6 linked regions of the Rattus norvegicus genome follow. The protein of the gene in region 4 interacts with the protein of the main gene of each other region in a pairwise test. Links are inferred from orthologs where the notes say so. Each region holds a gene or a part of one and is shown on either strand. Other genes may lie near its edges.

Evidence for each region.
Region 1: the proteins of Fars2 (region 4) and Agtrap interact in binary tests that used the Homo sapiens proteins (3 or more experiments, as listed by UniProt). The two-hybrid records come from large-scale screens. The link is inferred for Rattus norvegicus from reciprocal best matches to the Homo sapiens genes FARS2 and AGTRAP.
Region 2: the proteins of Fars2 (region 4) and Krt40 interact in binary tests that used the Homo sapiens proteins (3 or more experiments, as listed by UniProt). The two-hybrid records come from large-scale screens. The link is inferred for Rattus norvegicus from reciprocal best matches to the Homo sapiens genes FARS2 and KRT40.
Region 3: the proteins of Fars2 (region 4) and Mid2 interact in binary tests that used the Homo sapiens proteins (3 or more experiments, as listed by UniProt). The two-hybrid records come from large-scale screens. The link is inferred for Rattus norvegicus from reciprocal best matches to the Homo sapiens genes FARS2 and MID2.
Region 5: the proteins of Fars2 (region 4) and Rcbtb2 interact in binary tests that used the Homo sapiens proteins (3 or more experiments, as listed by UniProt). The two-hybrid records come from large-scale screens. The link is inferred for Rattus norvegicus from reciprocal best matches to the Homo sapiens genes FARS2 and RCBTB2.
Region 6: the proteins of Fars2 (region 4) and Appl1 interact in binary tests that used the Homo sapiens proteins (3 or more experiments, as listed by UniProt). The two-hybrid records come from large-scale screens. The link is inferred for Rattus norvegicus from reciprocal best matches to the Homo sapiens genes FARS2 and APPL1.

What each region holds. Positions count from the first base shown.
Region 1 is NC_086023.1:163,798,875-163,804,675, forward strand, and holds the start of Agtrap (type-1 angiotensin II receptor-associated protein), read right to left. Parts: upstream 3,301-5,801; 5' UTR 3,260-3,300; coding exon 3,233-3,259; intron 3,131-3,232; exon of another isoform or gene 2,996-3,130; intron 1-2,995. UniProt on the Homo sapiens protein: Appears to be a negative regulator of type-1 angiotensin II receptor-mediated signaling by regulating receptor internalization as well as mechanism of receptor desensitization such as phosphorylation.
Region 2 is NC_086028.1:84,995,692-85,001,230, forward strand, and holds the start of Krt40 (keratin, type I cytoskeletal 40), read right to left. Parts: upstream 3,208-5,539; coding exon 2,761-3,207; intron 1,423-2,760; coding exon 1,340-1,422; intron 1,034-1,339; coding exon 877-1,033; intron 1-876. UniProt on the Homo sapiens protein: May play a role in late hair differentiation.
Region 3 is NC_086039.1:109,239,532-109,243,399, reverse strand, and holds the end of Mid2 (probable E3 ubiquitin-protein ligase MID2), read right to left. Parts: intron 2,855-3,868; coding exon 2,647-2,854; intron 2,089-2,646; coding exon 1,686-2,088; 3' UTR 1,427-1,685; downstream 1-1,426. UniProt on the Homo sapiens protein: E3 ubiquitin ligase that plays a role in microtubule stabilization. Mediates the 'Lys-48'-linked polyubiquitination of LRRK2 to drive its localization to microtubules and its proteasomal degradation in neurons.
Region 4 is NC_086035.1:28,870,901-28,875,941, forward strand, and holds part of Fars2 (phenylalanine--tRNA ligase, mitochondrial), read right to left. Parts: intron 3,001-5,041; 5' UTR 2,980-3,000; coding exon 2,368-2,979; intron 1-2,367. UniProt on the Homo sapiens protein: Is responsible for the charging of tRNA(Phe) with phenylalanine in mitochondrial translation.
Region 5 is NC_086033.1:54,731,628-54,737,231, reverse strand, and holds the start of Rcbtb2 (RCC1 and BTB domain-containing protein 2), read right to left. Parts: upstream 3,248-5,604; 5' UTR 3,220-3,247; intron 2,569-3,219; exon of another isoform or gene 2,052-2,568; intron 1,028-2,051; exon of another isoform or gene 737-1,027; intron 1-736.
Region 6 is NC_086034.1:2,152,366-2,157,406, forward strand, and holds part of Appl1 (DCC-interacting protein 13-alpha), read right to left. Parts: intron 4,729-5,041; coding exon 4,670-4,728; intron 1,344-4,669; coding exon 1,197-1,343; intron 1-1,196. UniProt on the Homo sapiens protein: Multifunctional adapter protein that binds to various membrane receptors, nuclear factors and signaling proteins to regulate many processes, such as cell proliferation, immune response, endosomal trafficking and cell metabolism.

The sequences.
Region 1 (5,801 bases), on a different chromosome or scaffold from region 4:
TCTACCTACACTGCCTCCAGGGCAACCTGGAGTAGAACAGAGGCTCAGCACACCAGGTCCAGTCAGAAAGCCAAACAACAGCTCAGATGCACATTGATCAACCGCCCTGTTCTGGGCTTTCTGGCTGGCTGGCTTTGTTTCAGGGGTTTGCAAAGGTAAACCCATTTCCTGGCCTGAGGGCTGTTTTCTTGCCCCCCCCCCGAACCCCCGTGTCTCAGTCTTTTGAGACACAGTTTCTCTGTGCAGCCCCGACTGTCCTAGAACTCCCTCTGTTAGACCAGGCTGGCTTCAAATTCACAGAGATCCCTGTCTCTCTTCACACACTGCCACTTCCCGACATCTGGTCTGGGTTTTTAAGCCCCTCATCACCCTAGAAGACACAGCGGAGAAGTCAAGAAACCTCAATGTCACACAGATAACTAACTCTGTGGTCTTAAAACCTCACCCGAAACCAGCACTCTGTCCAGTCGGGATCTTTAAGGTCAAAGGCAGGGCAGAGGGAAGTGAAATTTAACTTGGAAAAGGGTGGGTCAGCAGAAGTCTAAGGGCCCTGAGTATTAATTAACCCTTTGTTCCGGGCTATGGACTATGGCTCGGTGGTAGAAAACTTGCCTGGGATGTGGTACCCTACCAGGAGAAAACAAAGCAAGTCTTTGTTTACCAGTCCCAAAGGAGGAGGGGTTGGGGATGTCCCTGACCTCAACTTAATACATCCCAGTGTGTCCTGTGAAAACATTTGGTGACCTATTAGACAAGATAGGATGCCCCCAGGACAGCTAAGTTTAAGGGCTACTCAGGTAGCCCAGGAGAGAGGCAGGTCCTGCCCTGGTCATCTGACAGACTTTGGAGGCAAACCATGGAATGGATCCTAGCTCCCCACACGAACCTGGGCAAGTCTGACATAAACTGCCACCTGCTCTTCAGCACAGCAGGGACTCCTGGGCTCTGGAGGACAGTGTGGAGGACACTCTACACAGCAGGCCTCATTGCTGCCTCCTCCCTGCCCCCACTGCTCCTCCCAGGACTTCACAAGGCTCCTCCAACCTGAGCTGCTACAAGCTTCTGCTTAAGAGAAGTATGGGTACAGGGCTGGGGATTTAGCTCAGTGGTAGAGCGCTTACCTAGGAAGCGCAAGGCCCTGGGTTCGGTCCCCAGGTCCCCAGCTCCGAAAAAAAGAACCAAAAAAAAAAGAGAAGCATGGGTAGGTGAGGCCTAGTCAGGGACCCACTTCTTTCACAGAGCCCAGGCCAAGTGCTGAGCAGAGCAGGGCATCCTTTTTAAAAGGCTGAGGGTGGACTGAGGCGGGCAGCCATGGTGTCCCAGCTGCCTTCCATGGGGTTCTTGCAGATCTTGCAGGCAACACAACAGAGCTCTCGGGCTCATTCTGAATTTCAGCTTGTGAGTAATTCAGCGTGTCCCCAATACCGAGACATACAGTAAAACGCTGTCATCAGCGCAAAGCCCAAAAGTGACTGAAAGTCCTTCCTACCTGCTACTTCACAACCCCCCCGGTGCTGACCTGCTTCTGACTGGCCCCTGCCAAGATCCACAGAGCTTGTCAATCAAGTCCTAGGGGCCTGGTCTTTGCATTGCCTGCTAGCTCACATTTGTGGTGGATACACTGTGCCTATCAGGTTCTAAATGTTGATGTAGGCCGACGAAAACCAAAAGTTAGCCCTAAGCAACTGATAACCACGAAATGCAAAGCACGGGAGCTAGGTCTTCGGGGGTTCGAATCCCGATTGCACCTGCTATTACTTGGATGATCTAAGCTGAAGTTTGCACTCCGATGAAAGAGCATAGCTCCTCTGGCTAGGCGTGGTGCTGCGTGCCTTTAATCCCAGCACTCTCGGGAGGCAAAATCGAGAGGATCTCTTGTCAATTCAAAGACAGCCTGATGTATATAGCGAGTTCTAGGCCAGCCAGAGCTAGATAGCAAGACCCCCCCCCAAACAAAAACAACAGAATGCAGTTTCAGTGTTCTCAGTGTAGGACTGAGATGAATAAAAGCAACACAGGCTGGGGATATGGCTTGGTTGGTAGTGCTTCCTTATCCAGCAAGAAGCCCTGGGTTTTATTGCCAGTACCGTGCAATCCTGGCACTGGAGAGGTGGAGGCAGGAGGACCAGAAGTTTGAGGCCATCCTCAGCTGCATAATAAGTTTGAGGCTAGCCAGTACCACACGAGACCCTAACTCAAATGAATAAGACATATCAGCCCATAAACACCAGCTCTTTTCCCACCTGCTTCTGTTTTAGTATTATTTGTTAGTGTGTGGTACTGGGATGGAACCCCAGTCCTGGTGTGGGCTACTCAAATGTTCTACCATAGAGACTCATGCTGTCCTCATACTTATTGGAGGGTAGGCTCAAGCAGAATAAGGCAGAGCCTGACCCCTAAGGCTGCCTCCCAGACCTGCAGTAGCCCATAAATCTGTCCCTAGAAAACGGATCCACTCAAACCCATTCCTTTACTCCAATCTCCCTCCAGCTGCTTAGCCAGCAGCTTAGGAATGGGAAACCGGCCAGAGCAAGTCACAGCCCAGCCCGCGTGCAATCAATCACTCAGCTGCTCCAATGCCACCTATATCTTCTGTCCCTTTCGTCTCAGACACCAAAGGGTGCTTAGTGGTTTAACACCTGAGAGAAGGTTTAGGGTTTCAAGAAACTTGCGCCAAGAAACCAAGATGGCCGGTTTACTTCCAGGTTCACACCGCTCTTGCCAAAGCTAAGTGGCCAGCACCTCTGTTGCAAACGAGGAGGGCTGAGAGAGAAAAAGAACTTAGGAAATGAAGACATCGTAGGCAGCCCTGCTACCCGGAGCCCAGCACAGCCTCTGGGGTTTTTTGCTTTTAGGAAACCTCTACAGTTCCTGCTTCTTAATTATGAAATAAAGACGCTGCATGCGGAAATTAGGGAGAAGCAATTGTTTGGGAACACCGAGTTTCTCCTAACTTCAGCCAGCACCCAGAGGGGTCCACCCGGACTGCACTGACCTCTCAGGAGGAGAGGTGTCCCTGTCCTGCTGTGGGGGACACCAGGAGCGCTGGCCCGGACGGTCCGGGACCCGTGCCAGCCTGGGTCCATCCGGGAGGGGCGGCCCTGTCCGTCTCTGTCCCCAGGTGTCCCTCTCGGTGTCCGCCGCCTCCTCCCCGGGGCTCTGCGCCTTCCCCTCGGCTCCGACTCCGTTCCCCAGGTTCCTGGACCCCCGCCCGACCCGGCCGCGCGGCCACCTTCAAGTTCACGGCAGGCAGCTCCATCCCGACCCGGCGGAGGGCACCTGAGCGACGGCCACGGGGACTCCTGGGCTCCGAACTCGGGAACAAACTTCCTGGCCCCGCCCGTCGCGTTGCGCCAGTTCCAACGGCGTGAGGCCAATCCGCGCGGCCACGTGACTGCAGTCGGTTGCTAGGAGACGGCGTCTAGCAGCTTGCCCTTGCTGCAAGGCTCAGGCTCCTGCTACTGCCTAGGCCTCTACCAGCTGCTGTGCTTCAAGCAGAAGGACGGGATTTCTACAGACTAGGGCTCAACCGGCTGCCTACTTGGGATCGGGGCGAGGTGGTGGGACCTCCCGCAGCCATAAGAGCCTGGGGGCAACCAGGCAGAAACTGCTGGTGTGATAACAGTTGGTGTCTGCCCAGGACACCCTCTCTCCTCTCTTCCTTCCCTTGCACAAGAATTAGTACAGTTCCTACCTCATCATCTTCGTGAGGGTCGGTGAATTAATTTATGTCCATAAAGGAAAAAAGCGAGGGCTGGAGAGGTGATTCCGTGATTAAGAGCACTTGTTACTCTTTCAGAAGACCTGGGTTCAGTCCCCAGCACCCACCCGGTGTACATGTACATGTGATCCGACCACACTCTTTTGTCCTCCGCAGGCGCCAGACACACGGCCTCACGCACATACAGGCGGGTGAGACATTTATATACATAAGATAAATAAATACAAAAGAAATTGAAGATTAGTTCTTACTGTGTTAAAGTTTTGCTTCAAGCTTATTGGATTTCGAGAGAATTTCATAAAATTCATTTAAAAAAAGAAGGAAAGAAAGAAAGGTAAAAAGGAGGTACAGCAAAAAAAAAAAAAAATTAAAAAAAAAAAGAGGTACATCGAGCCAAGCCTGTAAATAGGAGTCTTTGGGAAGTCGAGGCAAGGCAATACCACGAGATCAAAGCCTGCTTGGCTTTATAAAATGAGACCATGTTTATTTCTTCTTTATCTGTTTAGGTGGATGCATGTCCTACTATGAGTGTGGAGGTGAGAGTGTGGATGGTTCTCTCCTTCCATCCAGGGTCCTGAAGCCTGGGAAAGGAAAGGAAGACAGGACCCCAAGTCAAGGAAAAGGCTTTCCAGCTGACAACTGAACAGCCTCCATCATGAGGAAAGCAGAGGCCGGACAACTGTGGAGCCCAGCAGTTCAAAGCCAGCCTGGGCAACCGAGCGAGACCTTGTCCAAAAGAGAGGGGGTCAGGGCCCAGTGTTATAGCATCTATTTACCACAGCACAGACAAGGGACAATATCATCATAGCCTAAGTAAGGTTCCAAGCGATCAGAGCTGTGCCTTGTGTAAGCGGCCCATGCATACAAGCTCTTTTCTTTCTTTCTTTTTTTTTTAAGATACATTTATTTTAATGAGTACACTGTAGCCATCTTCAGACACACCAGAAGAGGGCATCAGATCCCATTACAGGTGGTTATGAGCCACCATGAGGCTTCTGGGATTTGAACTCAGTACCTCTGGAAGTTGCAGTCAGCACTCTTAACCATTGAGCCATCTCTCCAGCCTGCTCACGAACTTTTGTACTGTCAATATACCAGGAGCCAGCCACTTGACGTCCACTTGCTCAGCATAGCAAAAGCTGGAGAGCATTTGGTCTGGACAGTTAGCAGACAGTCTCCCTTGTGAGCGCTCTCAGGAGGAGGAAACTGCCCTGCCCGGGCTCTTGGGTGTGAGTCCTCTCAGGGCACAACTGCAACTTGTTCTGGTCTCCAGAATAGAAGGCACATGGGAACCTATGAAACCGTCTGAGTGGACACATGATGACATCCAGACCACAGATCCCCAGATAGGGTTTTCTTTCTAGGTAGAGGAAGAGAGTTTGGGGTGGGCGGAGGCCTAGTTTACTACCCCTTTTAAAGCACAACCCTCAACCCAGAAGGAAAGCCATGACAAGTGTACCATTGTAATGGACCAACTATTCTGTTTTTGTTTCTAGGCAGAATAATTCTGCATAGTCCAGGCTGGCACTGAACTTGAGAGGGCCCCTGCTGTATCCTCCTCAGGGCTGGGATCAGAGGCACGTGCCTTTACATGGGTCTGATTATGATTTGTTATAAAAGTTTATTTAACTGACATAAACGTTATACACATTGGCAAGGTATTTCCACAAATGGACAGCAACACATCCTCGAATGTTTATATCTTAGTCATGTTTATTTAGTTTATGTTGATATGTAAGTCTGCATGCCATGCCCCTACAGGGAAGTAAGAGGAGGACCAACTTATTTTTGAGCCAAGGTCTCTCCTTCTTTCTGCCATTCTGAGCACACCGGGCTAGAATCTGGGTGATCCTCTAGTCTCTATCTCCCACTCTCTGTGGGGGTGCTGGGATTACAGATGCATACGACCACATCTGGCATCTGGCATGGGTCCTGGGGAACAAACCCATGTCAGCAGGCTTGTGTGGCAAGTGCCTTTAACCACATAGCCATCTCCCAGGCCCTTTAGTCTGGGAATATTTATTTATATAACTGGTGTGTGTGTGTGTGTGTGTGTGTGTGTGTGTGTGTGTGTGTGTGT
Region 2 (5,539 bases), on a different chromosome or scaffold from region 4:
AATGTCAGAGTGGGGTTTACTTCTGTTTAAGAAAGATTTTTAAAATTTACATTTATGTGTGTCTGTATGCCACATGGAGCTGGGGTTATGGGCAGTTGTGAGCTCCCTGACATGGGTACAGGAAGCTGAACTTGGGTCCTCTGGAAGAGCAAACAGCACTCTTAATTGCTGAGTCATTTTCCCTTATACTCTTTCTATTAGGTCCAAATGTTTCAGCTATTTGTCTGCAAAACAGGTGTAATTTTGTACCCTTTCCCAGAGGATTATTGTGAGACAGGGAAGAGTTACTACACACTACTACACACACAGTAAATCTATAAAATTAATGACACACGCTCAGGTATCCATAATTGCCAACTATTGTTACCAGCTAAGGTATCCACACTTGCCAGCTATTGTTACCATCAAAATATTCAAAGAGTAAATTTTTTCTTTGTTACATCAATCTGCTTCTCATTTTAATAGCTTATGACAGAATCAAATTATAAACACACAATACCTACAAACATGATTCCAAGTATTGTGTGATTGTTTATCCCTTTTTTGGAAGGGGATACACAGTCAGTTTTATCAGCTCAATTTCCTTGTTATACAATAGAGCTATGGAAAAAACCATGAGTTGAGTTACTTCTCAACCCAAGCAATGGCAGGAAAAAGAGTGACCTCACCTCCGTGCCACTGATGAGGGTTATGTTAATGATGCATGCTGTACATCACATCTACCTTGAGAGACACTGGGGCAATCATGCTACACAGTGAGAATGTCTCTAGTTTTGTTCCAGTATAGGCAGTGTCTGTCCCTGTTCAATTTATACACATGAGATTTCTCAACAGAACTCCTCCTATAGTCTTTGGCCCAGCGGCCACTCCACTCACCTCTTCATGGTCTTTCTTAAGGCAAAGTAGATCATCTTTCAGAGACTCCACATGGGCCTCCAGATCTGACTTGCACAGGGTCAGTTCACCCAGGATCCCACGAAGACCACTGATGTCATTCTCTACCAGCTGGCGCAGGGACAGTTCGCTCTCATACCTTTCAGAGTAGGAGAAAGGGAGGGAAGTGGCTTAATTGGCTCAGAGTACTGGGATGCAGGGTTGGATGACACATGGCCTCCAGAGAGTCACACGCCTCAATTTTCCTTACATTCCAAATGAAGGTGAGTTCAGGGTTCAAACATTCTCAGTTAAAAATATATATTATGCAGAAAATATTTTCTCTCTTACTGGAAGACATTAATTATTGTTAATTATTATTTTATAATTAAATTTAAAATTTAACGTGTAAATTGCATACACAAAGCACACTGTGGCTTAACAAAATAAACATAATTTGACTTACTTTGACCTAAAATCATCGGCAGCCAGTTTGCAGTTGTCCACCTGCACGGCAAGTCTAGAATTCTCTGCCTTCGTGCACAATATCTAAGAGGTAAGTCATCATTTAGTGAGGAGCTCTTTAGAAGAAATCCACATATCTATTTTAACAGCCTTGCCACTCATTAGTTTATGAAAGTCTTTCCAAGTTAACATAATGTCTCTTCCAACCCATGATTCCTATTAACTGTGCCACTTCACAGAATAAAAAAACATTCAGTGCCAATTGAGAAACAAAATACAGAAGCAAAAGACCTTCCCTTCCTAAAATGAAGGATTTCACCTTTTCTTTCTTAGTATGTGTAGGTGTGTGTGTGTGTGTGTGTGTGTGTGTGTGTGTGTGTGTATGTGCAGGTGAGCGTGTATATTTAAGAGTATGTGTATGCACATGAGAGTGTACACATTTGAGTGTGTCTGTATGTTGGTAAGAGTGTAGCCTTGTGCAGTGAGAAGAAGGTGAGAAGTTTTAGGTGCTTGTGAGCTGCCACACTTGGATGGTAGGAACTGAACTCAGGTGCTCATGAGCAGTACAATGTTGTTAATCACTGCTGAGCCGTCTCTGGGGTTCAAGGTTTCCTTTATCAGTGATGCAGGGCATTTTGTCACCATCACTGGCTTTTGAGCTTTGTTGAAGTTTCCCACACTGCTAGTGTTTGTTAGAATTGCATCTCTGTGGTCACAGAAATCCATCAATTAAAAAAGGAGAAGTGGCTTTGTTGGTCAAGGGTTTGAAACACGAGTAGGAAGATCTGGGTTCAATCTCACAGAGCTCATGTGAAAAAGGTAAGTATAATACTCAGTGTCGGTTAACCCCTGGTACTAAGGAGGTGGAAACAGTAAGATCCCTGGGGCTCCCTGGCCAGGCCTCAGGGACTGCAGCTAAATCAGTGAGTTCCAGTTTCAAGAAGAGACTCTGTCTCAAAAACAAGGCGAGGAACGCAAGGTACTTGCCATGGACCCCAGACCTCCTTACCCACACTCAGGCATGTGTTCCCTCCCCACACGATCATATATCACGTCGCCCACCAACCCCACATTTTGCACACATACACACAAATAGAGAACGATTTCCAGAACTCAAATGGATGGCATTCAATATCTGTTTGATAAAGAATATAAACACGCAATGATACATGAAGAATGGGGTTTAGAAGACGTCATAACTCAATTTCCTTCACAGTGTAGACAAAGTCTACAGCAAGGTGACATTTCTATAGTCACCCAATAATTCTCTGAGAATGAGATTGATTATTTGAACTAACTCTGGGAATCCCCCTTTCCTTTGTTTTACATCCACAAAGCAACCTGCCCTAGTACAGCTATGAGAGAAAACAGAATTGGAAAACAGAGAACATTGGGAAACATTAGGGCAGTGAGACACCCAACCTTTTGTTGTAGCTCTTCAATGGTGTCAAAGTACCGCTGATAATCCGGGCAGACCGGTGTGGCATCGGGCTCACATTGCTCTCGGATCCTGCACTCCAGCTCTGCATTGTTCTCTTCCAGGCTTCTCACCCGCTCTAGGTAGCTGGCCAATCTGTCATTCAGGAACTGCATGGTCTCCTTCTCATTACTGTTGAACGTCCCTTCTTCACACCATGCACAGTTCCCCACCAGGCAAGGACTGTTACAACCGCCAGTCAAGTAGCACGGTGAGAGGCAACCGGCCGGGAGGTGAGCCCTGCAGAGGAAGCTCGGGGTTTGACATCTGGATGTGGCGCAGGTGCTGGGAAGGTAAGTTGTGCTGGTGGGGCAGAATGAGGCAGTTGTGCAGCTCGATGCCCCTGCATAGGGCTCAGAAGAGCAGCAGTCAGGGGAGCCTTCGGAAGCCATCTTCTGAGAAGGAATGAACAGATTGAATGGTGTATTGCTTAGGTCTCGCCTAGTCTCCCAAAGGTCTAGGACTTTTGGCTTCCTGAGACTTTTATATCTCCCTTCAAATGAGTGTTTACAGGACACACCGATGTTTTCTCTAGCCTTGCAGATGCCAGCTTTCCTACAAACATCTCATTAGTGTTGATTATTTACGGAGGAAGTTGTATGCCTCGTAAAAGGAGGATAACTTCAGGTTACTAAATCAGGACTAACGCCATTTCCACATGCTGCTTGGATAAAAATTCTTATTTCAGCAAACGGCCATAGGAAGCACTACCTTTTTGAATGAATAAGGAACCAAAGAAAAAAATCGAGCCATCAGTAATTAAAGGTAGAGATCATTGGAGATACAGAAAGTAATATTCCAACAGGGTTTGATTTTGAAAATTGATTGCTCTTGTCTACTTTACAAATGGACATCACAGCTTATTAAATTGTATTTGTTTGTGCTACCAACCACTGTAAAAATGGCGGTTAGCAATCTCAATCTTGAAGTGTCTTTTTTTTAGTGAGTTTGAAGTATGTGCTTACATGGTACAGGAAAAGGTCTATGCTGAGTGCAAATTATGTGCATTCATTTTATAGACTGATGAGAATAATTGAGTCAAACTATGAATTGGTTATCAAGATCTGAATTGCGATCTTTGGTCATCTAGAATTTGTGGTCTGTAGCCAAGCACTAAGCATGCCTAACCCTGCTTAGTTGGTGAGATTGGATGTGCACTGAGTGGATAGTCAGACACGCAAGCTTTGCTTTCTCATGTTTACATTTTAGAAGCGTTATGCTGTTTTTGAAAAGCAGTCTTTCTTTCTTTTTCCTTCCGTCCTTCCCTCCCTTCTTCCTTCCTTTGAAGTTGGAGATCAATCATAAGGTATTGTTCATGGCACATAATTGATTTACCTCAACCTATAGTCCCAGTCCTTACCTATATTAAGGAGAGCAGAGAGAGAAATTGCAATGAGGGTTTAGCTGTAATCTGTGACGGAGCTCCTTACCCATTATACTTGGGAATAGAGCCAAGGAAGCCACAAAAATCTTACTTTTAAAAAAATATGGAGTCTGTCTCCTCTTTTTTATTTAGGAAAGTCTCAATTTCATGAAAATGAAAAATATTTGGATGTTGGGAATATGATTATGTGATGTCTGTTTCAGCTAACAGTTTCACTGAGTTAAGAACCTCTGGTACAGAACTAGATGGACATTGGTTCTAGGATCTCACCTCTACTATAACTATAAACTGGAGTTTCATGTTGTCTGATTTTAATTGTGGTTTTTATTTCACTTTCAAAAATTACACAGAGAAAATTGCTTTCAGCATCAATAAAAGTCCACTGTGCGTGTGTATGTGTGTGTGTGTGTGTGTGTGTGTGTGTGTGTGTATGCATGGATATGCATGTATGTGGAAAGTAGACATTAATGTTGAGTGTCTTAGATTGCTTTTTATTTCCTTATTATCATTTTTGAGACAGATTTCTCTACATAACTCTGGCTGACTTGGAATTCACTGTGTAGACTAGGCTGGCTTCTGACTCATATTAATCTACCTGAATCTGTCTCCTGAATGATTTGATAAAAGGCATGTGTTGTCAGGAGCCAACATAGGAGAAGCTAAAAACTAGCAGGAGATCTTTCCGAGATGGGTGTGACTTAGATTAAAATCTACAGTGGAGCTCCAGTAGGCAAGTCCTAGGAGAAATTCATTTGAGGAAAGATTTCTGTTATCAATATGCTTTCTTGTTATTATTAAACATATATAATGATCACTAGGCATTAGCCTACCCTTTGAGCAGATCTCTGCAGAACTACAAAGATGTACTGTCTCTTAGTGATGCTATACAGACAAATGAATGAGTTCCCAATTCTTTATAATGATCCTATAAGAATTCCTAAAATTATATCAGTATTTATTAAGATCTTTTATAGTGGGACTGCTATTAGGTTCTCTCTGATAATCAAAACTGCACTGAGAACTCTGCCAGTCTTTAGTGTCATGAGTTAATTGCTTCTGAGATACCAAGCAGACACCTCCTACTCAGAGCACATTAGTGGTTGTAAAACCACTAACTAAAGGTCATAAAAAGGGAACTAACAATTCATTATAGTTGCTAGGACAGAAGATAAAATATTGACTGGGTTTATCTATACAAAAATTCAGTAATAACGCAGTTATGGCTTTTAACTTGCCATGAACCCGTAGAGCTGTGACAAATAATGAATGTTTAGAATGGACATGTAAGAAAACATTCTCTGTTGTAAACTTCTTATTTGATTTATGGTTTGAATTTATGT
Region 3 (3,868 bases), on a different chromosome or scaffold from region 4:
CTATAGTGAGTTTGCTCATTCCCTGATGAACCGTAAGGTACGCATAACCTTTAAAGTCAAAGAAACTGAGTTTGTTACCTGGCGTGTAAATCTGAGTCTTCCTTTTGTATTGGCACAGGCCTTGCTTTTTGTGGTAGGTAAGCAAACAATCCGGAAGGTTCGTTAGGTGGGACTCACAGAGATATGTCGTCTCTTGTGCATTAAGAGTGAGACATTTGACAGCAACGACTTCATTTTACTAATATGTGCATTCTATCAGCAGTAACGTGGCATCATTGAACAAATTAACAAATAAGAATCCTCCATGCTAGTAGAACGAGGGGCTAACGTTTGACACTGTATCAAGGCTACATACAATCCAGGGAATGGCCACTGCTAGCACTTAACAATTACACAGTAGTAATCATTTTACAAGTACCAAGGAGTAGATTTGACTCCTGGAAGAAGGCTCTATTTCTCTGGCATTTCTAATTAATCTCTGCAAACAGAACTGGTGAAATCACAGACTGTGAAGCTCAATTTCTGTGATGAAAAGTAGGATGGAATTTATGTTTTTATTTGTCACGGAGGGAATGCAAGGGAATGAAGAGTATAAACAAAATTCCAAAACTAATGAGTATTGAACCTCTTGAGGAAAACAGCATTTCGGGAGTGCTTCGTCTGAAAAGATAAGTACATTTGTATGCATATAGGTATTGAACCTGTAACACTCCATTCTTACTGCTCAAGTAAGGCGAGTTCTGAAGAAAGTCCATTATGTAACTCTATTCTTAAGCCTAACTCTAGTAACTTTGTATTTGAGAATAACAAAACTATATTTCTTTGAAATATTCTATGACATTTTTAACAATTCAAATGAATCTCCTCCATTAATATCAACGAAATTATGCTACACAAGACCCTTCTACCAGAATCGATTTTCTATGTAGCATTAGCATCTCCTGTACAATCATATCCCCAGATCTCTCCTCATCTAACCAAGAGCTCTTCTCACTTCCTGTGTCTCGATTGCATGTGTGTGCATGTGAGACAAGAGGGAGGTAAGAAAGGCTTGAAGGGAAGGAGAGAGAAATGCTGGCTAACCGTGATGTTTCACCTAGGGGTTAGGAGTGGACACTATGATTTATTTTCCTTTTCCATATATTTCTTATATAAATGCACAAATTAAGGTTTATTGTGTATATGTAATAGATAAAATTATCTGTCATTTTGCTCATAAAACGAATTCAGCCATTTTATATATTATATATGCACATGTATGATGTTCCCAAAACACCTCAATCATTAGTTTATTAAAAAGTGACATACAATAAGTGATAATTTGACACTGTGCAAATTCTACCTGGCCACACTAGCCATTGCTAGAAAGGCTAATTCCTAACAGTATCATTTATACTCCCAAATCACTGGGAATTTTAAATTTTCCAATGACGCCAGAGATATTCTCTAAAATTCTTCCCTGGTGGCATGAACCCAGACCATTCAGATTAATTTGTTCTGAGTAACTCAATACATGAATTCAAACATAAGTTTCAATGCACAAAAATTAAGTCTACAATATCTAGTTATTTTGGGTGCTCCCAACGAACTTTAGTTTGTATCTCATATATGGAGCACTAATGGAGGCTTGAGAAGGGCAGAAGTGCTGAACCGGAGAGCCAGCGACTTACATGCTCTCTTGACACTTAATGACAAGCTTTCATCCCCGACACATACGGGGATTCTTGAGGCCTGCAGTTGCATTCCTGCCGCTCAGGATAATCAATAAAATCTGGGGCAGGCAAGCCAGACAGGATCATTAGGGATTTGTTCCAGATTGTGAATGTTGGACAAACTGGAAGAATGAAGGTAACATCAAAAGTATGAAGATGGAGAGAGTTAGCTGGGTCATAGAAAGACAGCATGTTGTTGTCATAATCCAAGAGGACGCCTAGACGCTTCAACTGTGGGGGCACATCCACCAGCATTTCCTTGTTGTTATGTCGCACCACGAAGTGACTGTTGCATCGAGAGAAGACCCAGGAAGAGGCATTCTTGCCAATCCACTCGTTCTTTGGAGCTGATTTGTAGGCAATACCGATTGCATACCTGAGACAGTGGAGAAGCCAGAAAAACATTTATGAACGATTGGAGGTGTGCTAGACATTGCTTAGGGTCTAGGAGTGACTCACTACATGCTCCTTCCTTAAAACATTTATACTTGCATACAGAATGCTAATGTAATCGGAGTTTGTAAAGCCAGTAATTAGAGTGATACAGAATTTCCTATCTCCTAGCCCAGTAGATTTTCCAAAATTTTATCTTTTAAAAACTGGCAAGACTTTCTAGGACTAATTCTTATCAAAGATCTCTTTTTTTATTTATTCATTTATATATAAGTACACTGTAGCTGTCTTCAGATACACCAGAAGAGGGCATCGGATCTCTTTACAGATGGTTGTGAGCCACCATGTGGTTGCTGGGAATTGAACTCAAGACCTCTGGAAGAGTAGTTGGGTGCTCTTAACCGCTGAGCCATCTCTCCAGCCCTTATCAAAGATCTCTTAACCGTGACTTTTTAGTATCTTAGTTGTGCTCTACAACTGAATCTCCTAAGAACCTAAAAGCAGAGAAGATGAGAGAAAGAAAGAAAAAAATCCCACTCACCATGTTGAAGAACCCATGACCACCTCCCAGTAGTGGCAGCCACTGTCAATGAATATATTTCCTGCTGCCCCATAACACCCCGTGCCACTAAATCTCTCCGGAGTGTGGCTCTTCTTCAGAGAGCTCTCGTCCTTCTCCATCTGCAATCCATCATTGGAGATCTTCAACTTCTTGTGAGTCATTTTGGGATCTAGTTTAAATGGTTGGCCTGAAAGAAAAAAAAAGTAAAAGAAGAAGGGAAGGGAAACTATGATGAAACATTTACGAACTGTGTCTTTCCCCTCCAGGACCATCATTAGCAGGGGACCCCCAATATGATGATGTAGGTTGGCTGCACTTTGAACTATATTAGGAAAGCAGGCAAGAGTGTCAACTGGCAACTAAGAAGAGAAGTCATCCTCCCAAAAGATAACCTTCATGCATTATTTTCCCTCTGTGAAAAAACGTGGGTATCTCATTTTGCTGGAAGTCATATTCCAAGCACGGAGGAGAAAGTGTTCCCATCATATATTATGATATTAAAAGGGACCACTCCAAGTCTCACATCCTCAAATGTGAGAGCTGCAGAGAGCGCCCATCCTCCATCAATCCATCATTGGAGGTCTGCACCTTCTTCTGAGTCATTTTGGGACCTAGTTTAAATGGTTAGCCTAAAAAAAGTAAAAGAATGTCTTACTTCCATGAGTGGGTTGGGATATAGGGAAATTTTTTAAAGGAGTGTTGCAATGTTTGAGGTAGGATAGTCTTTGTGTTAATGAGGCAATTGCTCACAAAAGAAAAAGGAAACAAAAACAAAAAACAAAAAAAAAAATAAAACCAACTCAGCAACAGATGTTTGCTTCTTTGAAACTGGAGTGCGCATATAATTAGGCGACTTTGTTTGAGTGGCTGCTCCATCATCAATGATGAAAGATAGCATGTGCTTTACTACAGAGACCTTTATAACCATATGACAAAAACACTGTCCTGTGACCCCAAGTGCTGGGTATTGAAAGAGGTTTAGTGTACAGTATGCCTCTGTGATAGACACTGTGTGTTTATACAGCATCCATTCCTTACTTCTTCTCTCTCTCTCTCTCTCACTCTGCCAGCCTCCCTCGATGCTTGGGATGACTAATAAAAAGGAAACTGAAGTCAAGCAGAGTGGAAGAAAATTCTGATTAAGCTCCTGTTTCCTTGATTAAAGGCTTACCAACGTTTTCTCTTCTTCCTACTTTGAAGG
Region 4 (5,041 bases):
AATCCTGAGCAAGTAGCTAGGCCTTTCCAGATCTCAAAGTCTCCGTGCTGAAGTGGGATAACCTAACTTATAAGGTTGAATTAAGAAGAATAAATGAAGCATTGAAATGGAAGCACGTTGCAACATGAAAAGAAGACACTTTCATATATCTGTAGGTACACAATTTATTAAATAATGAATCTGAAAGCAGTCACAGCATCAGACTAGGTGAGTACACTGGCTGTTTTTGTGTGTCAATTTGACACAAGCTAGAGTTATCACAGAGAAAAGGAGCCGCAGTTGAGGAAATGCCTCCATGAGATCCAGCTGTAAGGCATTTTATCAATTAGTGGTCAAAGGGGGAGGGCCCAAGCCCATTGTGGGTGGTGCCGTCCCTGGGCTGGTGGTCCTGGGTTCTATAAGAGAGCAAGCTGAGCAAGCCAGGGGAAGCAATCCAGTAAGTAACATCCCTCCATGACCTCTGCATCAGCTCCTGCTTCCTGACCTGCTGAAGTTCCAGTCCTGACTTCCTTTGGCAATGTGGAAAGTGTAAGCTGAATAAACCCTTTCCTCCCCAACTTGCTTCTTGTTTGTGATGTTTAAACAAGAACAGAAACCCTGACTAAGACAATGAGCTACACATGGTGCCTGGAAAGCTGAAGTGAATTACAACAAATATGCACCAAGGCAGGATTACTTCCATGTGTACTTTTTATTGCTAACTTCCTATTGTAGCCTCAATTTCTCTCATTAAAATGTCACTGTTGGGGTTGGGGATTTAGTTCAGTGATAGAACGCTTGCCTAGCAAGGCCCTGGATTCAGTCCCCAGCTCCAAAAAAATAAAATAAAATAAAATAAAATAAAATAAAATGTCACTGTGAGTTACTCAGCCACCGCTGCCTCTTCTCTACCATGACATTGACATGCAGTCTCACATATTAACATGTTCTTCATTGCTTTAAGACACTGTTAACATCGCTGTTACCACTGCTCCTCTCACAGGTGAACCGGAAGTGGTGTTCTATTACTTTGTCATATTCTAGACTCTGACTTGTCTCTTTAAGTTCCTCATAGTTCCCCACTTCTATATCCTTTCTAACAGTTATCACGTCTACCTTAGAACATAACGAGCTTCCCAAGGACTAGGAATGGCCAACTGTACTCCCCAGATGCAGCTCTGAACCAATTTTGAGAAAGGCTTACCTATGTAACAATGTCACAGATGTAAAGAGTAACATTATTCTGAAGCAGATAGGAAGAAAAGGAGAGGATAGCACCCTTCAGTCGTTTCCTGCTAAATAACTTATTTACTAGAACAAAAACTGTTTGTCTTAGTCTAAGGAACCTATGCATTTATTTTCACATTAATAGCCCATTATGCTGTGTTTGCAAGATGGGGTTTTGTAACCATAGTAACTCTCCTTTCCTTTGAACAATGTTTGGAAGGAGTCGCTACAGACATACGAGATACTTGAACTTACTAAAATTCTTGTTTCTTACAAGAAAAGATGCAACAGTCTCTAACATATCAGAAAGAAGGAAAAGTATTGCTACAATTTTAATTATTCTTTTCTTTTTTTTTTTTTTTTTTATTCTAAGACAGGGTCTCACTACGTAGCCCAGGGTAGCGCTGACCTTGCAGCCTCATTCCTGCCTCTGCCTCGGAAGTGATGAGTTACAGGCTGGAGCTGCCATACTCGTTATGATTATTTTTTAGTAAGTGGACTCAAGCTTTGTGGGGCTTTCAAACTTTGCAGTGAAAAGTAAATATTAGCCAGTATACTAGGATAGCATGGCATAGATGTATGAAGTTGAAAACTTCTGAGGATGGCCTAAACATCAAACTTCCACCCAAAAGGTCAATATGCATCCAAACCCAATTAACACTAACAAGTAAGACCCCTCCCTCCTCAATGCCAGGCAAGAGGAGCTCAGGACAAGAACGCAGCTGATGGTCCAACCCAATGCACTGCTTGTCACCCTCAGCCCTGCTCTCCAGCTGCGGGCGGCCAGCACTATGTTCCACTAATACAAACAGAATACCCAGAGTGCAGGTGTCAGACCACTGCCTTCGCTCAGCCTGGATTAAGGCTGAATTAGAACTACTATCCATCTATGAGACGTAAACCAGTATAAAGCAGGTTAGTACAGAGAAAAGGGGACAAGAAAAGACAAGTAAAAAAGAAAACCTTGTTTTAAAGTCCACCATTTGCACAAATCCCTCACATACACTGTGGCCTGGGAGGTCAAGGTTCACATAGACATGAAAAACAGAGCAGTCACTAAGGCAAATGAAGACCAAGGTCACTCTCCTTGTTTCGCTCAGAATCAGTCTTATTACAGCAACACAAATGCCCTTCATCAATGAGACTCATCTAAAGACTCACCTCATGCTTGGAGAAGAGTCGGACGCCCTCCAGCTGGTGGAAAACTGGGTAGTGCTGGGAATCAATCTGGTCACGCCGATACACATCACCTACCACGAGGAAGGCATTGAGCCCCGCATGCAGCAAGTCCCACTGATGTGCTGATGTGTGTGCTCTCAGCATGTGTCCCCGATTCAAGTAATAGTTGTCCCCCTTCTTCCTGCTGGGGTGGTCAGCTGGGATTAGCAGGCTATCGAAGTTCTGCCAGGTGGTGACCACTGGGGAAAGCTGGTCATAGACGGAGAACAGAGGTGTCCTGGATCGCCCCATGTACTGCTGGTAGAAGTGCTCCTTCACCCGCTCCTTAATCAGCCACAGAGGGTGGAACTTCTGGTTGTGCAGGTTCCTGCCCACCTTGGAAAGGACTTTCTGGGTGAGGTTAGTGTGGTCATCTTGAGGGTAGGATTTACCAAGCAGCTCCAGCACACGGCCTGGAGCACCTTGGACAGCAAACTGCGATGCAGCTGGCCTTGAGCCCCAAGCCCGATGTTGATGACATCTGCAGACATGACTGACTTTCCTCACCAGGTAGAGGTGCTCATGGGCAGCTCTGATGAAGGCCAAACAGACCATTATAGAAGCTTCTCACAAACTCTGGAAAGAGCACACAAGGAAAACACCAGTCAAGTTTCATCCTGTAGACAAGTGTGTCCTTCAGTTCTCTGAACAGGCTCATGATGTCCCTAGTGGCATATTTACTTCTCTGTCACCACCTGCATACCACAGGAAGACCAACGGAGAAAATCTATTGTCAAGGCTGCTGTAACTTGAATGTCCTCTCCAGACTTTATCTAAATTTCACTGTCGTCTAACAGTACTAAAAGGTGCAAAGCATCAGGGACTCTGCATGTAGAATACAAGACTGAGCTGATAAGAGTGGAGTGGGCTCCTGTACAAGGATAAGCACAAACTTTGTGCTCTTGCTTTTACCACAAGATGATCCATGAGATGGTCTGGCCTCGCACTGGTGCCTTAAGTTTTGACCTCCAAAATCCAAAGTTGTGAGAAAGGAGCTTCTTTTTATTGTAAATTACTCAGTCTGTGGAATTAGGTTAAAGAAACAATAAACTACAACTCAGGCATGTAGGACACACCTTTAAGCCCTGCACTCAGGAGCTAAAGCAGGTGGATCTCTGTGAGTTTGAGGCCAGCATGGCTTGGCACAGCAAGCTCCAGGTGGGTCAAGGCTATACAGTAAGACCCTGCCTCAAATTGTAATTCACTAATTAATTAATTACTTAAAGAATTAAATCTTAATTAATTAAAATAAACCACAACTAAGACAGTCTTAGTGCTTACTACTCTAAATCAGAATAGTAAAGGTGTTTATCTCTGATCTCTAGGTATTCTTCTCCTGTAATTTAAATTCTTTCCTCTGTAGGAAAAAAAAAAAAAGTATCATCATGCTGCCCTGTCAATTTCCTCGGGAAGGAGAACACACTGAATGTGCCAACTTCCTTTATTTTCACTGCATTCTAACACCAAAATAATCTCTGAAGGATCACCTAAAAGTTATCCGAGTCTAGCTAAGCAGACCTCCAAAATGCATAACTTCAAAACAACATTTTAAATAGGATCTTAGGAGATAGCTCAGTTGCTAAAGTACCTGCCAGGCAGACACGAGAGCCCACATTTGGGTCCCCAGTGCCCACGGAGCAAAGGGGGGGACATCCACAAGCATCTGTAAAACCAGTGTTGAGTCACAAGCTCATGGGGAGCCAGCATAGCTGAATTGATGAGTTACAAGTTCAATGAAAGACCCTGTCTTAAACAATAAGGTGGAGAGTGTGAGAGGCCTTGTCTCAAAAACAAGGTGAAAGTGTCTGAGGAAGACTTCAGTGTGGACCCCTGGCTTTCACATACATCCACACATCTGTACACATGTAGCCAAATGTATACATGTACACAACAACAACACATATATACAGATGTTCTGATTAAAATTACTACTTTAGATAGTAGAGTTTCATTTAGGGATTTTTAAAAATGAAAAGAAACTTAATACAACTTTATACTAAGTAACAGACTATGCCAAGGGAGGGCAGAAATTGTATTTATGAATGTAAGTCTTCTCCACTCTTATTGGTCATGGCATTTAATAAAAAATCCATTGCATCACTCTATCAATGACTGTTTGTCATCCTAAAAGACAAATTTTCTACAGAAACACATTCATACAATAAGTCCAACATAGGACAGATGGACAGAATTTTCTGGAAAAGGAACACAAGGCACAGAAGGACAGAGGAAGGAACAGAAGACAGAGGAAGACCTGGGAGAACAGGGCAAGTAGGGGTGAGTGAGAAGAGGAGAAAGAAAATGCATATAACTTAGTAAAACAGTAGAATTTCAGTTAAGACCCACCTCAGCACTCATGTGGGATAGGTCACTGACCTCTCAGGTAAACTGATAAATATCCAGAAGTAGATGCCAAAATTCTGTGGCTGTTAGAAGAAAGACTATGATCTACTAACATTGTTTATTCCTTACTTCAACAAAAGCAGTTTTCAACTCCTTCAGGGACCATAGTAACAAAGAAGACCAAAGTTGAAAATTCAGAAATAATTTAAGTTCTTAAACTTAAGTCACTCAAATCTTTTGAATTTAGGACTTTCATTTTGAGATACTTTAAAAT
Region 5 (5,604 bases), on a different chromosome or scaffold from region 4:
ACATCAGGCCAGGAGAAGTAAATGGCAATAGGGTTTTTTTTAACAAGATGCTTTTATACCTAGCAAGCTGCTGGGTGCAATGGGGTGTATAACCAGGTGGGCAGAACTATGAAGGAGCAGTGGGAAAGCCAGTGCACTCTCAAAGGAAGTGCCACCCAGTGTGTACGGAAAGGGGTGCGCTCACTGTGACATATAACTGCTGTTGTGTAACTGGTTTCCAAATTTCGAGGTGAGGCTTGGGGTAATTCAGCCTACAGCAATGCTGTAAGAAGTCTCCAGATTACTGAGCTCAACGCTGATAACAAAATATCACCTTCAAGTGGGAAAATGTTTTATGTTGCTACATGAATGACATGAGCTGACACAGAGAGCCATGTGTAAGTCCATTTGAGATTTAATTTCTTATACATCCAATGCTTAAATAGGTATTAACAGATGTGGTAACCATTATCCTATTAAAGACCTTGGCTCTACAACATAATTCTTGAACACAGTGGATCCTCTTGACCTCCACTTGTTTCCTCTTAGGCGTCCTTTTGTATACACTTGGCACAATATAGAAAACACTGACGTTTAGCTATCATTCACTAGCACTTGGTAGCCCAAAAATGTATTGGGGGTGGGGAGAACAATGCATATTAGCTCAGGTTAGACTAGCAAAATGAAGATATTAAAAGCACACACTTCAGTGTCAGGTCGATGTTTAATAATCCATTGTACTTTCAATTTCCTTCAGTTCATGTTTTCAGAATGAGGTCACCGCGTGAAAGAGACACGTATTCCTTCCAGAGAAGGAAAGCTAGAAGGATCATGTTAGCATCCCATGACAGACATTATGAATGGCCTTTACAGATGGGCGGCTGATGTGCTTAGGGGCCATTCCCACAAGGACCTGCTTGTTTTTAGCCCTGGACAAAGGCTTTAATGCCTCTCTGCCATCCGGATAACCCTTTTCCCCATCTCCCTTTCCTGAACAATTTTGATTTGTAATCATGTCAAATAAACTTTGAAAATAGCAATACGTAGTAGGCATTTTAATTTCACTTCAGATCTGTTAAAACAGAAACTAATTATGACGATGATCTCCAATGGACAAAGGGGAATTAAGAGTTCCCTGCAGCTATACTCTAGTCGTCTCTTAATGCTTGACCATGGAGTGTCTGTGATTTACTTCATTTTACTGAAAGACCTCAAGGGAACCACACCTTATATCCCTCTCCAGCCATGTCCTCTATGGTCAAGAGCCAAGCTGTCTAAGTTTGTCTGGCTCATACAAACCTCCTCAAGAAATCACTGGAATCATGGCATGGCATCACACTAGTCATCTTCATGACTTAATGTCAGGGGACATTGAGAAGCAACTGCAAGGTACAGTAAGCCAGAGTGTTGCAGGACCCAACCCCATATCAACAGTACACTCTGTGAATGCAAGTCATTTACAGAAACTGTAATGTGCACATAGCCAGCTGCCAGCCACCCCCACCACCCCACCACCACCCCCCGTGTACTTTCAGCCAGCCCTGGAAGTAATACCCAATGTAAATGCTGTGCAAGTGGTTGCTATCTCTCCAGGCTTGGTGCCTGCACTCTCAGTACGGAAGAAGCTGAAGCAGGAGACTCTTGAATTCCAGGCCAACCTGGGCTTCCCTAATACATTGTTCAGGCCGGTCTGAGCTAGTGACGTACAGGTCTTATAAGAATAAAAAATAATTTTAAAACGTTGATATATTTTATTGTTAATGATAATACCCCTCCCCAAACTTCTGTATGTTCAGTAAAGGTTCTTCCTTAATATTTCCAATTCAAGATTTGTTGAATCCATGGTTGCAGAATATAAGAATGAGAAGTCCTTTCAGGAGGAAATACTTCAATGCTGTCCTGAGGCCTACAGTACTGCCACTGTGACAGATGTCATTGCTCTTCAAAGTGTTTAGGTAAGAGTTGAAAGTATCAGGAGTTTTCGGTTTAACTCATAACCCCGTGACTAAAAAAGCACAGAGGTAAAGGCATTGTTAGGACACTCTCCACAGTAGCCCTGGTAACTGACTTACCTAGATGCCATTGCCCAGTAAGGTGACCAGACTTTACTAGGAAGGTGCAAATAGATCGGACTCAATGACCGTTAAACAGTGACTGTCACACGAATGCACTAAAGAACCAAGTTCCACAGGACCCGATCTCTTTTATTCCGCTTTAATAGACATTAAGTCGCCAAAACCGTTCTGTCCGGATGGAAGCTATTCTAAAGGGAAACACGTTTGCCTCTCCCTTCAGGTGTCAGGCTTTGGACTCCAAGGAATTGTAACTGTGGCTGGGACAGGATGGGTCATTGACAGGCCGGACTACACCTGGGACAGGCCAACTCTGCACATGTATTCCTCGTTCACTATTTAAACCCAAACTTCAAGTTAAGTCCTCTAAGCGGTTCTGGGTCACCGAACCTCTCTTTGTTCCCTTTTCCAACGTGGCCACATTTATTAAATCTCTGGCTTTCGCTACAATCTCGCCAAGTGGCCCGATGTGGCCAAGCTTAGTTCGGGCAGCCAGGGCAACTTTGTGTCCTTTGTTACAGTCCGAGCTAAAGCTTTACCTTGTAAAGAAAGGCAAAAGGTCGGCTGTAAACCTATCTTCAACTCAGGCGGAAGTCCCATCTCCGCCAAGAAGGGGCACTGGGAAAGTTTTTCACCTCTAAACCCCTCCACTTCCGGCCTAGGCTGAGCCCAAAGGACAGGAAAATCTTAGGAAGGCCAGGCCTTTCCCGCCATCCCTCCACTTGGGGACCAAAGGCCTAAAGCGTATGCGGCCATTGAGTCAGCGAGCGGCTCCAGGCGGGAAAGAGCGGAAAGACCTGGAAACGGCGCCGCTAGCCCGCGCCTTGTGCTTGGAAGGGATGGAGACACCGGGGGCAGGGGCCCCCAAGCTGGAAGCGGGAACCCTACAGCCGTTGCCTCGGGGCGACGCAAAAACGGACCCCAGGCTTGGCCTGCGCGCATGCGCAACGCTACGCCGTCCCAGGGCCCAGGAAGGGACGTGAACCCAGAACCACAGCAGGGACCTCGCCCACGAGCTCGCGCGTGCGCGCCGGGCCCTGGCTCGGGTGGGTTGGCGCTGAGCCCTGCCCCCGCAGCGGCTGCGCACCGGGCCGGGCGCAGGGTGAGGCCTCCGCCTGGCCTTCGCCCCCAGGGCCCTCCCGCGCCTGCCGCCCACACGCAGGCTTACCTCCGCGCCGCGTCCTCTCCGCTCCGGGCAGCCGGGACTGCTCGCCCAGGGCCAAGAACAGCCGATACTTGGCGCCTCCCCCTAAAGTGGCCGGGCTCGGCAGGCTGAGCTCGAGTTCAGCGGTGCGGGGCGGAGGGGACCGCGGGAGCGGGAAGAGAAACCAGGGGAGGGGAGGAGGACAAAGAGAAGGGAGGGGGCTGCGCGCTGCGCCCCTCCTCCCTCCTCTACCCAGACCAGCAACTCTGGGGATCCTGTGCAGTACCCAGCTTTCTAGTTTAGTGCTCAGATTTCGGGGAACCTATACCTACCTAGTTTTAGGTCTTAATTCAAAAGCAATGGTTTTCCTGCTTGCTGCGAAATAAGAGGACAATTACATTCTGCGCGCGCTAGTCCAGTCTTACCAACTCCATCCAGGAGGCCCACCTCATTGTCTGTTGTTTGAGGGCTCAGAGAGAAGTCCAGTTTAAAAATGAAGGATATTCTGTCACCTGGGACGATATGGAATGAACCTGGAGGATGTTAAGCAAAGTAGGCACACAGCACAAGTACTTACGGATCTTATTTAAGGAGCACTGAAAAAAGTCAAGTCGCGAGTAGAGAGGTGGTTACTGGGACTAGGGAAAGGGAGCCTGTGGGGCTAGTGATCAAATTTCAGTTAGGAGGAGCAAGCTCAGAAAGAGAGCTGCTGAGCTACACAGTGGCTACCTTTATGAACACTGCACACTAGAAATTGCTAAGAGAATAGATAATGACATGGTTTTGGAACAGGGTCTCTGTAATAGCCCAAGCTAGCCTCAAACACCATAGCCTCCCTCCCTCCTTCTTCCTACTTGATTTTGCCTTCACAGTGTATACATATATCAAAACACTGTGCACTAATTTTTTTTCGGTTGAAATCTTAAAAGAATACTTATTTTCTTGACATCAGTTTTTTGTTTTTTTATATATATAATTTTTTGACATCAGTTTTTATAGTACATGATCTCAGTTTAGGGGAAGACAATGGAGATTTGGATAATTTGCTTCGGGTCATACGGTTAGAGGTGACTCAATCTATCTCTCCATTCCACAGGGCCTCTTTTCCCTCTTGACCATGTGGGAATAACTAAGAAAGGTGGATCAGATAATAAAGTGTAACTGCAAGCTGGGTCCCGAGATCCACAAAGGGCATTTTGGAAGAGGCAGGCATGATCCTTTGTCTTGAGTAAGCTCACAGTCTGGAGGCTGAAAGTTCAGCCTAGGCTAAACACCAACAGTCTGTGAACTTAGTGTAATGACAGGCCAGGCTTAAAGGGAAGAGAAAATGAAATTAGGACTAGATGTGGAAGGTCAGAAAGAAACTGTGAAATTGGCGTGCCATGTCATAGTCTATGGGCCCAAACCTTTGCCTTTAAAATGGAGCATTTGACTGTTTAATATCTCACGAAGCACGCTGATAACACAGCCTGACAAGATGACATATTTTTTAATCTTAAATAAGATACTATCAAATTGGATCCAACAACAAACACTATGACCAATACAGGGATTATTTCAGTGGTATAAATATGTTACAATGGTAAGAAAGTTACTCTCGTAAGTAGGTCAAAGAAGTAGGCAAGTTCAGATTGAATAAAGCGATAAAGAATTCAACGGTCATTTTGATCAAAGAAACGTTTAGTAAGTGGCTTCAGTCATGCAATAATAAACCTCTAAAGGGTGTATCTAAGAAGTACAGGGATACAGTTGCTACTTCCCCGTAGTACCGACGGATAATGACGTGGACCATGAGACCTGAAATTGAAGCCGATGCCTTAGGTGATGCAATTAGACACACAGCTCCTTTTCAAAACGTTGAGACCAAATAACTAAAACTGACCTTGAACTCTTGGTACCAACCAATACCTCAGCCTCTCTAGGGCTGCGATTGTGGGCTCGCACCACCGTGGTTGACCCCTTTTCAGTTTTTGATGAGTTAAATTCCAAGGCATTTGTGGATGTCTGTCCTAGAAGGCAGTTGCTTGCCACTTGGTAAACCACACCTTACTTGTCCTCACACTGTGGAAAGGCTAACCCTGTCCTGATGTAGCTAAAGGGGGAGGGAGCTCCTCGGAGTCTCATCCCTTCCCCATGACTTAAGCACATCCGACAGGCCCACTCTGTAATTGGCTTACGTGAATAAGAAAGGACAGCACCATTGGCATCACACACTCAGGAAATAACATATATTTATCCTATAAATATAGAGAATATTTGATTAAAGCATGGCGGATCAAAAGCCACATCTTTTCCTATCAAGTTTAGGAAAAGGTAAAAAATGTATTAGAATAATTAGCCAGGAAAATAAAATTGAGATTCATTCAACGGTCAGTACTGTGCAACCCACCTTGTCTTATTAGCATTTTC
Region 6 (5,041 bases), on a different chromosome or scaffold from region 4:
GGATTCAATCCTACTATATATCCTTTCACATTTAGGCCGTCTGCTGTTGTATTTGACATTAAGTCTCACTTGTAATCCAGGGTGACCTCAAATATTTCCCTAACCTCAGACTACCATGACTAGTTTTTTACAAAAAAAGAAAAAAAAAAAAGGTACTCTTATGCTTAAAAGGATATTCAAATTTCTTGGTTTTTAAAGAACTAATATATTCCCCAAAACTCAATTTTCTAGCCTCTTTCCTAATGTATACTTTGTTGGGCATTTGAATATTTTATGCACATGGATGTTTTGCATGTGTGTATGTCTGTTCATCATGTATGTGACACATGCCCTTAGAGGTCAGATCCCCCACCATGTAGACACTGGAAATTGAATGTGGGTCCTCTAGAAAAGCAATCGGTGCTCTTACACATCTCTCCATCCCTTCAACTACTATTTCTGACTCAGGAAGTATGTGAGGAACATGGGACAGATGCAAACCTACTCATTCTTTATCCGTTTGTTTGTTTGTTTGTTTGTTTGTTTGTTTTTCCAAATGGTTTCTCTGTGTAGCCCTGGCTATTCTAGAACTAACTCTCTTTGTAGACCAGGCTGGCCTTGAATTCAAGAGATCCTCTGCCTCCCAAGTGCTGGGATTAAAGCTGTCCACCACCATGTCCGATTCAAACTTGTTCATTCTTTCTCAGGTTTCTAATGAAAAAAAGCTCCAGTTATTAATTCCTCTAGCTTTCTGCTCTCTGTCTCCAACTGAGGTGGGAAAAGTCTTACTACAATGTACTTCCATTTATTTAAAACATTTTATATCTTCATTTGCAAGAAAAAACATTCGCCCAATCTTCTTAAAATAAGACACTCATGACAGTCTTTAAAATTACTTTTTAAAACCACAATACAGGGGCTGGAGGGATGGCGCAGTGGTTAAGAGCACCGACTGCTCTTCCAGAGGTCCTGAGTTCAATTCCCAGCAACCACATGGTGGCTCATAACCATCTGTAATGGATCCAATTCTCTCTTCTGGTGTGTCTAAAGACAGTGACAGTGTACTCACATAAAATAAGTAAATAAATCTTTAAAAAAAATAAAGTAAAACCACAATACAAAACTGTTGACAACAGTTTATTATAGCCCTATAGTTAATACAAAAATCAAACTTAATACAAGGCTTTTAGGACAGATATAATCCAAAACATATTTACCTGAGCCTGCATGTATCCAAGCAGAGGTTCTAACAAAGCTATTTTCTTCTTGTACTGAAGAGTATTTAGTGCACAAAAATAATGCATCATGGTCTGGTGTTGCTTTTTCCTGGAAGTATACACATCCTCTGTTACTTCATACTTTACCTTTGAATGAAAAGAATAAAATATTATTTAATTTTGAATTATCTCCAGTAGAGTGGAGAAGAGTCTTTCAAGGAAAATGGAGAATCAATAATTACTGAACATAGCCTTCCTGTTTTCTACTCGATTGGAAACCCATTAACATACCAGGTCAAGTCATTTTTCTGTATACCAACCATATCACTTACAAAACACATATCTGCATGCAACTATAAATGTAGGCATCTGCACTAACAGGACAGAGTCACCATATGGGTTACTATTTAGCCAGCGATGTCTGATCTGAATCAGCTCACAGCACAAATTCTCCCCTCCTGGTTTTCTCCTTACCACTCTTTTTCTCTACCTGCTTATTTTTCTTGACTCACACTTAAAATACATATGCTCCCAAGTTATTTCACCCAAACGACTTTTCTTTGAGCATTTATAGAGCCTACTATGTATTAGGTAGGCTCTTTTCCTTCTCTACTTGGAATACCTATCAAGTTTCGACATTATCAGTGCACACTGGCCTGGTGGTGTGAATCTGTACCTCCTCTCTGGCAGTCCCTGTCCCAAGTGCCAGAGAAAGGAAGGCTGGGTTCTTTTGTATATAAGAATGAGTGTTTATGTACACTGAGAATGCATAGACTGAAAATAGCTTCTTCCTTACAGCAGCTGTCCTTCCTTATTGTTCTTTCCTCTCTCTAGGAAATGTCAATGTGGATCTCACCTCCTACTATAGGACTTCTCTCTTCCAAAGCAGGGCTAGGAAGTGAGTCTCAGTGCTTGCCTACCATTAACAAGGTCCTAGTGAGAGATAAAGAACAAGTCTCCAAAGCATTCTTTTATAACAATCTTCTTTGTGACTGTGCAAGGAAGTCTCATATCCCACTGGTATCACTCTAGCACTCTCCCTTTCATGCTGTTATTATTGCTTTGGTTATACAACATAACTAACTGCATGGCACTATTTACCTACCTAGAATCCTTCCCTGACTATTCACTTCCTTTAACAAAATTTCAAGGTGGTAAATGCAGCAATCTGGCTCCAAACTATTCCTTGTTAGGTTTTGACAAATGGGATTGTTGGTCTGTTTTAAGATAGTGTCTCATTCTGTACCCAAGTTAACCTTGAACTCCAGGGTGGCCTCAAAGTTTCAGGGATCCCTTGCCTCCCAAGAGCTAGGATCACAGGTGAGAGCCATACCACCCAGCCCCCAACGACTTTGTCAACCTCTCCCCAAACCCATCCTGAGAACTGAGAGGTGATCACCTCCTGTTGTCAAGTAATGATAGAACTCAGTGAAAACTGCTGCTCTGCATTCACTGCCTAATTTCACCATCACGACTGCTGCTCTGTGGGTCCCTCTTCTGCACAGAGAAGAAAGGCATGGAACCAAGTAACTAGTGCATGGCTTCAAATAAAGGAAGAGCAGGCCTCAGATACGTCCCCCAAATCTCACTCCATAGCCAGTACTCTAAACCTTCACAGTGTTCAAACTCCAGAGCATGCCTCTACAGAGAGACCGTTTTGGTTTGGGGGATTTTTGCTGTTCAGTTTGGGGCTTTTTTAACAAAAAGTCCTTTTCAATCCCCAAAGTGTTGTCTACTTAACTACATTGCACATGCAACCTCCTCAGGCTCGATCTGTACTGTCTAGAAAAATCTTTATTAGTGCATCTAAGTCATGTCACTGCAGTCTCTTCCTCCTTGTACTCCGGAACGCATTCACACTAAGCGTGCAATGAATAGGAGAGCCGGAGTGGTCCCTACTCACACTGTTCCCTGAGGAACTCAGCATACTGCCTGATAAATAGATGCTCAGTAATTTTTCTAATTCAAAAAAACATTAATTCTTTTTAAAATACTTGGAATAGCCAAAAGCAATATAAATATACCAAATTTTATAACCTAGACCTTTAAGTACCTCTCTAAGGCAAAATGACTACTATAAATCTCAAATTGTGTACGTTTATTGGTTAACTTGGGAACTAGAATTAGAAATGGAAAGCAGGGCTGGAGAGATGGCTCAGCGGTAAAGAGCACTGCCTGCTCTTCCAGAGGTCCTGAGTTCAATTCCTAGCAACCACATGGTGGCTCACAACCATCTGTAATGGGTTCTGATGCCCTCTTCTGGTGAGTCTGAAGACAGCTACAGTGTACTCATAGACATTAAATAAATAAATAATTCTTTAAAAAAAAAAGAAGAAATGGAAAGCAGCTTAGAGGAGTGATCACTCACTGTGTGAGAATCATTTCCTTTGTTGCCACAGCGGCTCCTACACAGTAGATCCTACTGAGCTGTCCACTTCCGTAAGTAGTCACTGTGTCTCTACCAGCAGCTGTGACTACGGCTGCAAATACCAAGTCCTGAAGAGGTCACCGCATTTGCAAGCATTGGTATAAGCTGTAACTCAGGACTTCAATCACCCAGAACTTGTAAATATTCTCTTCTTTGATCTTTAAATGCATTCATCCTCAAATATTATGTAGTACTTCTGGGTTTCATTCTTTGAAAAAATATCAAGATATAAACGTTCCCTTTAAATAGAGAAAGCCTTATACCAGAATTTCATTGAGTTCCATGTGTGACATTAACTGAAATATGTATGTGACTTACTTTCACTTGTTTTATTCAAGATTTTTAATGAATTTCCAGCATAGAGTGTTACCATGAATACCTATTTAAACACTCATATTCACACTTCCATACAACTAAATACAAAACTGAACTTTATCTCCTTTTCTATCTGAGATTATAATTGCAGCATTCGTCCTCCCTTTCCTCCCTAAACCTCCAATAAGCCTGTCCTGTTCACTTCACTGTATGTATTTACTGTAGCATCAAAATACAAAACAAAAACCAGTTTTATATATTGGGAACCAGTCATCCTTTTAAAATAGTTATGTTTAATTATACTATCAACTATTGGCAGAAGAGAAGCATTTTGTTTAAAGAGACCAATTACCAGAAATGATTTGAACATCTAGGAAAAATTATGAGAGTAATACCATGACAATGGTTTGTTGGCTCTATTTTTCAATAGGAAAAACTAAATAACCTAATAAAATGGTCGTCACCTTTGATATTGACAGAGTGCATGTAGGCTAGAGCAGTAACGGCTCAGCAGTTAAGAGCACTCACAGCTTTCCCAGGGGATCCAGGTTCAATCCTAGCACCTACATAAGTTGGCTCACAATCATCTATAACTCCAGGTCCAAGGGATCTGACTCTCTCTCCTTGCTTTTTCTGGTAAATATACACAGTACACAGATATACATGCAGGCAAAACACCTATCCATACTAAAAATACTTATAAAATGTTCTTAAGAGTATATAAACATACCTTGTCATTTTCTCTCTTTTTTGACAACCGGCTGTACCTATTAATTGCGGCATCATGATCTGGAAAACAGAAATGAGTGTTAGCAGTACAGTAGTACTTGGCAAGACTACACCTATCCTAGAGCTAGGTAAGAATTCTCTGCCACACGATCACTATGTTCAAACTTCCCCCAGAGCCTACTTTCCCTTGATTCTGTGACTATGTATAAACTGATGGAAAACACTAACTTCCAAAGAAACTAGAATCTATTAAAAGTGCCTGCTCATCTCTGGAGGGAAGTGGAGGGGTGGTGGGTCTGGGAGAGAGGAGCAGTGGCAGAAGAACTGGGAGTTAAGAGGAGGGAAGGCTACAGTAGGGATGTATTGTATGAGA